2 linked regions of the Oryza sativa Japonica Group genome follow. Each later gene encodes a partner of the first gene's protein in a complex. Links are inferred from orthologs where the notes say so. Each region holds a gene or a part of one and is shown on either strand. Other genes may lie near its edges. The genes, in order: SNF1-related protein kinase regulatory subunit gamma-1-like and SNF1-related protein kinase regulatory subunit beta-3.

Region 1 (3,924 bases):
AGACTCGAATCCAGATGAGCAGATTGGCTCAACTTCTTATGTAAATTCAATTTATTATTTGTAACTAGGTTAAACAAATTATGTTGAATTGGTTAAATTTGTTAAGTTAAATTTGCAAACTTTAGCCTTTCATCATTTTTTTTCTGAAGCTCTGATGTATTTTACACTGCAAAGCGGTTGACCTACTTTTATGTAGTGATGTAAGTGGCCTATCTCACTACCCGCATAAAAACACGTTTACTCGTTCATTTCTCACACGTTTACCCTTGAACCCCCGGGATCGGTGGCGGCGAGGGCGGGGGGAGGAGGGGAGAGGAAGGCGGTGGCTTGGAGGTGGAGTGCAATAGTGGCACGCGAGGTCGTCACCTCGCCAAGGTCGCCGAGGGCACCGTCTCGCCGAGGTCGCCGCCCGCTGCCTGCCTGGCTCGCCCGCGGGAAGAGAAGATGAAGAGAGGGGAGAGGAAAGAAGAGAGGGAGAGAGAAGAAAAGGAGTGAGGATGAGAAAGAAGAGAGAGGGAAGAAGGGAGGTGAGGCTGACATGTGGGACCCGTGGGGGCCCCACTATTTTTAATTATTTTTTGTGTGTAGCTAACATGTGGGGCCTGGCTTTTATTATTTTTTGGGATAAAATTGCCACGTAAGCGCCACGTCAAATGCCACATGAGACGAAGATCAAGTCAAACCAGCCACGTCAGCCAAAACCGCCGAGGGACCTCGTTTGTACCAGTTTTGACCGTTCAGGGACCGATGATATCTAGTTTTTGGTTTAAGGATGAAAATCAGATTTGGTGTAAAGTTAAGGGAACTCCAATAAATATATTCCACTTTTATATGTGTCCTGGTATATGTGGCGGACTATTTCAACCGTGGGCCATATTATGTAGGCGGCCTAGTAAAAAAGAATAAAATTATATACTCTCTCTGTTTTTTAATAGATGACGCCTTTGATTTTTAAATGTACGTTTGATCATCATCTTATTCAAAAAATTTTATGTAAATGTATAGATATAAATCATGCTTAAAATACTTTGAGTGATAAAACAACTCACAACAAAATAAATTATAATTACGTAAATTTTTTGAATAAGACGAATGGTCAAACGTGTAATAAAAAGTTAACGGCGTCATCTATTAAAAAACGGAGATAGTAATATAATATAATATAATAACGAAAACGCCACCCCTCGCGCGACGTGGCCCCACCCAAGCGCATACGTGGCACCGCGCCCCCATGGCCGCGAGGCACCGTAGTACTAGTACTAGCTAGCAATCGAATCCATCTCCCTCCTCCTCCTCCTCCTGGATTGCCGCCGCCGCCCACGGTTTCCAGCAATCGCCGCGGTTCGCGCCGCCGCCGCCGAGCGGAGCAGCGCCCCGATCGATCCCCTTCCCCTCCCGCGAGCAACCGACGCCGGCGGAAGTCCCAGCTGCTTCCGCCACTTCGCCCGGTGAAGCATCCGTACTCACGCTCATCCTCTTCCTCATCTCTCTTTGCGGTCTTTACTACCCACTACGCCTAACCCCCTTTTCTTTTTTCTTCTCGGATTTCGTTAGCCTTAGCTTCTCTTCCAGATCCGCAAGCAATTTTCTTGAATTGGACCTAACCAGAGTAAGAGTAGCAGTTTGTTAGGATTGGATTGGGAGTGTTAGCCCCTGATTAGTTGACAGGAGTAGATTAATAGTGTACCTCCGTTGAACTTGTGATGAACTTTGCTAATATATGCCAAAGTGGCTTGTCGTGATTGGGTTAGTTATGAGTATCTACTGTGCCATGATTAGATTAGATGCGTGTCCAGATTGCTGCCATCTACTGGGATTAATGTTTGAGTGAGTTTTGTTTTTTTTGTTTTTTGTGTAGAAATGGATCGACCTGATGAAACCGTGAAATTCCCAAGCTGTGATGCGTATTTTGACACTATACAGTCCAAGAAGAAGCTGCCCCTCTCTTTGCAAGAATCGCTCACTGCTGCCTTTGCTCAGATTCCTGTCTCGTCTTTTCCTGATGTTCCTAATGGCCGAGGTACACACGTCTGCAAGACAAAATTAACTAACTAGTTGTCCGCGCCATGTATTTTTTTGATCCCTCACATTGCATTGCAGTGATTGAAATTCCAGGAGACACTTCCGTTCTTGACGCTGTGAGAATTCTCTCCAAACACAACATTAGGGCAGCGCCAGTGCTAAATCCGGAATGTGGAGCTCCGGCTGATTGGAAAGGGAGGTACCTTGGCATCATTGATTACTCGGCTATCATCCTCTGGGTTCTAGAAAATGCTGAGATTGCCGCCGTTGCTCTATCAGCTGGGTCAGCAACCGCAGCAGGAGTTGGAATGGGTGCTGTCGGTGCAGTGGGAGTGGCAGCATTGGGTGCAACTGGTCCTGCAGCTGTTGCTGGCTTGACTGCCGCTGCAGTAGGGGCTGCTGTTGCTGGTGGGTTAACAGCAGAAAAGGGTGTGGCAAAGGATGGACTAACTGCTGCTGATCATTTAGGAGAAGATTTCTACAAAGTTCTGCTTCAGCAAGAACCTTTCAAATCAACTACAGTATGCATTTTACTCTATGATGAATTATTATGCATATTTGGATTTTTTTTTCCTTTTTGTTAAATGTCGATCATTTATAGAGTCCAGTCAGTCTCAAATTATTTGGTATATATTTTACCTTGAACCACTGTTCTGCTGTGTGGCTACACCGAAGTTTGGCTATCCTAGTTACAATATATGCCGCAGCTTGGCGTGATTGAAAACTTCCTGTGATTTCTTAGCTGCAACTTATTGTTGCTAATAATAGTTTGGATATCTGTCCTCTTTGCCTCATTTGAATATTGCATGATGATCTTCTGATGTAAATCCTGCTAACCTTCATATTTTTTTCTCATTATTATAGGTTCGATCAATTGTAGAATCCTACCGCTGGTCTCCTTTTGTCCCCATTACACTGGACACTTCAATGCTTACTGTATTACTGTTGCTATCCAAGTACAGGTTAAGGAATGTCCCAGTGATTGAGCCTGATAAGCCAATTATTAAGAACTTCATTACTCAGACTGGTGTTGTTAAAGGACTTCAGCAGTGCAAAGGAAGGGATTGGTTTGATTATATTTCAGCGCTCCCTCTCTCGGACTTGGGACTTCCATTTATGTCACTTGATGAGGTAATTGTGTCTCCCTAATCCAATTCTTTACTAATGAGAAATCATGTCTGCCTACATTATCAAGATAAAAGTTATATCTCAAGCTGAAACATGCTACAATGTAATTTTTTTTCTCTTCACTTTGCAATAAACTGGTAGTTGAACAATTTTGTGCTTTCTTCAGGTTATCACTGTTAACAGTGGTGATCTAATCTTGGAAGCTTTTAAGTGCATGAAGGACAACAAAATTGGTGGTGTGCCTGTAGTAGAAGGTCCCAACAAAAAACTTGTTGGCAGTGTGAGCATAAGGGATATTCGCTTTTTGTTACTTAGGCCTGACTTGTTTTCGAATTTCAGGTATCAAACCATCCGGCTATTTGTTACCGCGTGAGTCATTTTCAAAATTTTGCATTTCCATGTTCCTAATGATAAATCTTCCATACAGGCAACTTACTGTCATGGAGTTCATGAAGACCATAGGTTCCACCGTTTCTGATTCAGGGAACGGCCTGGTGAAGCCACCTCTCACCTGTTCGCCTGACGCTTCTCTTGGCAGCGTGATTGACAGCATTGCATCAAGAATAACCCACCGGATATACGTCGTGGACGGTGACTTCGAGGTTGTTGGTGTCGTGACACTGCGAGACGTGATCTCTTGCTTTATCTATGAGCCACCTGGTTACTGTGACAACTATTTGGCATCAGCCATGGATAAGCTTGAGGAGAAAGGTGCAGGTTCTGTGGACACAAGTTGAGCCTTTTTCTGTAACGCGAACACCAAAATAACAGACT
Region 2 (3,924 bases), on another chromosome or scaffold:
GTAGTATCACTTTCTTATATTCATTATTTGATACGAGAAAATAAACTTATTTGGCCATCTACAATACCGAAATGTAAAAAATTAATTAAACAACATAAACGGGATATAAAATATAGGCGTGCCAATTGACGCACTGATTTTCTAATGTTTCAAATAAATATTGGGTCTATTTGGCTGCAACAAGCCAGCTGTTGCTTAGTTCCTGCAGGTAAAGAACTAGAGTCCGGCTTCGCGGAACATGCCTACTAAGATTATGTACTATAAAACATCTAAGTATAAACACCTAGATGATACTCCTACCTAAGCTTGAATGGTGAGGTGGAGGAGAGAACAGAGAGGATGAGCCACCCCTCATGCAAGAGAGAGGGTGTGTTCGGACTGTTGATACAGCCAACAGCAGCCCAACAGCTGTAATATGTAGCTTAATCGAACACAGCCATACTCTTTTCACAAACTTTAAGGAAGAAATGGAAAATAGTGATGTTGATCAAAGTTGTCAGTATCCTGATCTATATCTTAGTATTCTGTGATACTACAATCCTATCAAGCTGAAACAATATCGATCCTACGTAGTATCCTAATTTTCATAATATCTCAATCTTATTATTCATTTTTATACGATCATACAAAATTTTAGGTAGCAGCCCGATACTACGATCCTTGTGAACCTACCAAATATTATTTAAAATAAGACAGATTGAAAATAATACTGAAGTTTACATAAAACCAATTAAATTTATCAGAATTGATATTATATGCTTTAATTTATACAAAATATTATATATTTTATATAAAAGTTATGTATAGTAATACCGATACTATGATACTATAAATCAAAGAACAATCCTACCTACTATCTTGATACTTATTATCTTGATGTTGATTGGATGAGAGCGAATAAAATAAATACTTATGTATTGGGGTTAGTAAATTAGAGGCAATGCGTAGCATAAATTGCTTTCCAATTAATTAATTGATAATGTGAATAATATTAGATGTAGCAATCACCTCTACCGTAAACTTGCGCTCTTATGTTGTGACTTGCGAGCTTAACTCATGCTGAGTTCAGCAGGTGGAGTTAGGAACTCCATCTTCTCGCACAAAAACGGTATTACTTATTAATAATACGTAATTAATTAAGTATTAACTAAAAATACTTAATAAAAGATTAATACGATTATTTTAGCGATCTTTCTATAAAATATTTTTAGAAAATATACCGTTTATTAATTTAAAAAATATACGTGGTTAAAAAAAGAGAGGTGGGTTTGAAAAGAAAGAGAAGAACACAGACTTAACACTAACCGAAAAGCCTCACCTTACCTGAGCTTAAGCTTAAATACCACTCTTTGTAATAAACGACGGTAAATCGGATGGAAGTACCCAAGCCACCCCCAATTCTCCTCCTCGTCGTCGTCCTCCTCCGCCTCCTCACCACGCGCGACGCCCGCCGCCAACCAGGTGAGCTCACCACTCCCCCCGCCGCCGCCCGCCGCCGCCATCCATCCTCCCTTCCTCCCCCCCCTCCCATCTCCTCCTTCCGCTTCGCATCCCTCCCGTTCCCAGCCGCCGCCGCCTCCGCCCCCCTCGGCCCTCTGCGGCTCCGCCCGCTGACAAACCCTAGATCGCCGCCCCGCCGCCGTGCTCTCCTCCTCGTGCCTCCCCTATGGCCGCCGCCGGACTCCGCCGCTTCGGTAGTGGTCGTCTTCTCATCTGCCGCCCCCCCGAACCGAACCCTAGCTCTCCGCCGCCCTACCCTAGGTCTCCGCAGCAGCAGCTGCTGCTCCTCCTCTACCAGAAATCCCCGCTATCGGCCGCCCCCATGCCGCGCCTCCTTCCCCCTTTGCCTCGCTCGCCCTGTGATTTCGCCTTTCGAAATGGAGCCTCTGTGTGTGCGGCAAGCTCACTTTTATCTGTTGATTTTTAGTTTTGGTCGCAGGTGGCTGAGGAAGCAGTCTTCGGGTGGCCTTTGCGTGGTTTGCTTCATCAATCTCTCCATCCTAAGGTGAGTGAAAGACTAGTCCCACCTGATTATTTGTGGCTTTTGATGATCAATCTGGGTAGTTGGGAAATGTAGCTGCTGGAATTGTAGTTACTGAGATGGACATGAGCAGTTTACTTCTGTGCGGATTTGCGTGTACTTCAATTTGCTCTGAAATGCTTGAAGAACTATATGATTTAGCTTATTTTAGATCTGTACCTATTATTAGATGCTACACTTTACATGGAAGGAAGACTATCTCGTGCTATTTTTGTGCTTGGGATTTATAGTTGGCTGTGGTGGAGTACTTGAATTTTTGAATTATTTGTGTTCTTATCATATACAAAATATATGACTAAAGTCAAAGAAATGTACAGATTTAAGACCCAATTTCCTAACGATAACTGCATGTCACAACTAAACCTGTACATATTTGTCAATATGCTCACACACGCCAATTCAAGGGCCCAATCCCACACGTCACGTCGTAATAAATGAATTCCATGCAGTGATCCCACCAAAATCTTTACCCATAGTCCCCAAACTAAATAACGTGTTGCCTTACGTTATTATCCATATCCCGCAAACAAAATGACACTTTCCTATATTCTGTCTTCTTCCAACGCTTACCAGTTACCCCTATACTTGGAAGAAAGGCATCCCTAACCGTACCAAAGCTCTAACCTCTACTTCATCACTAAACTCCAAAACTCAAGATTCAGAGCAAGCTAAGCCTCAAGTTCACTCCATATTGGCCCATTTTTATGCAAGAGGCCTATGCAGCTATCATGCACAGCCAAGGATGGTATTGATGAATTACGTTCATGGGGTGCCAGCAAAAGGAAACGAATAAATGGAAGGGCGCATTTAATAAACACATAGCAAAACCAGATTTACCAAACTAGATCAAAGTCAAATGAATAAAAACAAATTAGGGATTCCGTACCAATAACAGACATCAGTTTTCGGTATCTCTTCACACTGATCTCGCTTAGGAGAGGAGGAGAGTAGTTTGAGAAGGCAGATTGTTATGGTATAAGGCAGGCATGCACTGCTGTGAACATTGATGATTCAGGCAGCAGTGTTGAATTTGAGGGAGGGGATATGATGGAAGAGATATAAGAACATGTTGGGGATCACCAGATGAGGTTGATTGAATTCTTGCTTATTTCCTCCTCTGCATTGGAACTGGATCAATTTACAAGGGAATTTTGTTTATCCTTGATTTCTTACCATGTATAGGAAATGATTTCTCTTTATGAGGCCCCTAACAATGGAAAATTAAAGGATTGTCTAAATGCTCCCAACAGATATGCTTGGATGCAACTACACAACATAGTCCTTTAGCAATCATCTACGCTGCTGGCCCTGCCATTTATGCACCACCTCATGGGCCATAGCATGACATTCTGCTACTGACTTTTTGTATAGTCACTGCATATGAAGTTTTCCTTAGTGCATAAATTTCTATATATTAATCACCACTTAAGAACTGTGGATCATGTAAGCTTTATTCAACTACCTCCGTCCCAAATATAACAACTTCCGGCTATGAATCTAGACAAGCACATGTCCAGATTCATAGCTAAAAATGCTTAAATTTGGGGATGGAGGGTAATACTTAAGCATGGTACCTGGATTTTGGATTAGTGGGCTCTTACGGTCTACCATGATGATGTACTGATTACTATGTCTCTGTTTATCCATTAAAGTTTGGTTACTTCATTTCATTTTTTTTGTTTCAAATACTTGTATGTGCTGATAAGGCTTTACTTCAATTTATTATGTCATTTTTTAGCAACAACCAGATTTTCATCTTTTGTCTGTATTAGTTCAGTTTAAGTGGTGACTGTTAATTACAGAGCGAGTTGCTTCTCTTGGTTATGTGTATTTGAACGAAAAATTTAGCTAGTATAATCTTTTTCTGAGGGAGCAGTTTTGGG

Evidence for each region.
Region 2: SNF1-related protein kinase regulatory subunit gamma-1-like (region 1) and SNF1-related protein kinase regulatory subunit beta-3 share a complex: the UniProt entries of both Arabidopsis thaliana proteins name them as parts of the probable heterotrimeric complex. The link is inferred for Oryza sativa Japonica Group from reciprocal best matches to the Arabidopsis thaliana genes AT1G69800 and AT2G28060.

The regions. Positions count from the first base shown.
Region 1 is NC_089035.1:23,394,394-23,398,317, reverse strand, and holds the start of SNF1-related protein kinase regulatory subunit gamma-1-like, read left to right. Parts: upstream 1-1,193; 5' UTR 1,194-1,459; intron 1,460-1,858; 5' UTR 1,859-1,860; coding exon 1,861-2,020; intron 2,021-2,100; coding exon 2,101-2,543; intron 2,544-2,886; coding exon 2,887-3,153; intron 3,154-3,316; coding exon 3,317-3,489; intron 3,490-3,577; coding exon 3,578-3,887; 3' UTR 3,888-3,924. UniProt on the Arabidopsis thaliana protein: Regulatory subunit of the probable trimeric SNF1-related protein kinase (SnRK) complex, which may play a role in a signal transduction cascade regulating gene expression and carbohydrate metabolism in higher plants.
Region 2 is NC_089043.1:16,341,338-16,345,261, forward strand, and holds the start of SNF1-related protein kinase regulatory subunit beta-3, read left to right. Parts: upstream 1-1,363; 5' UTR 1,364-1,461; intron 1,462-1,927; 5' UTR 1,928-2,005; intron 2,006-3,924. UniProt on the Arabidopsis thaliana protein: Regulatory subunit of the probable trimeric SNF1-related protein kinase (SnRK) complex, which may play a role in a signal transduction cascade regulating gene expression and carbohydrate metabolism in higher plants.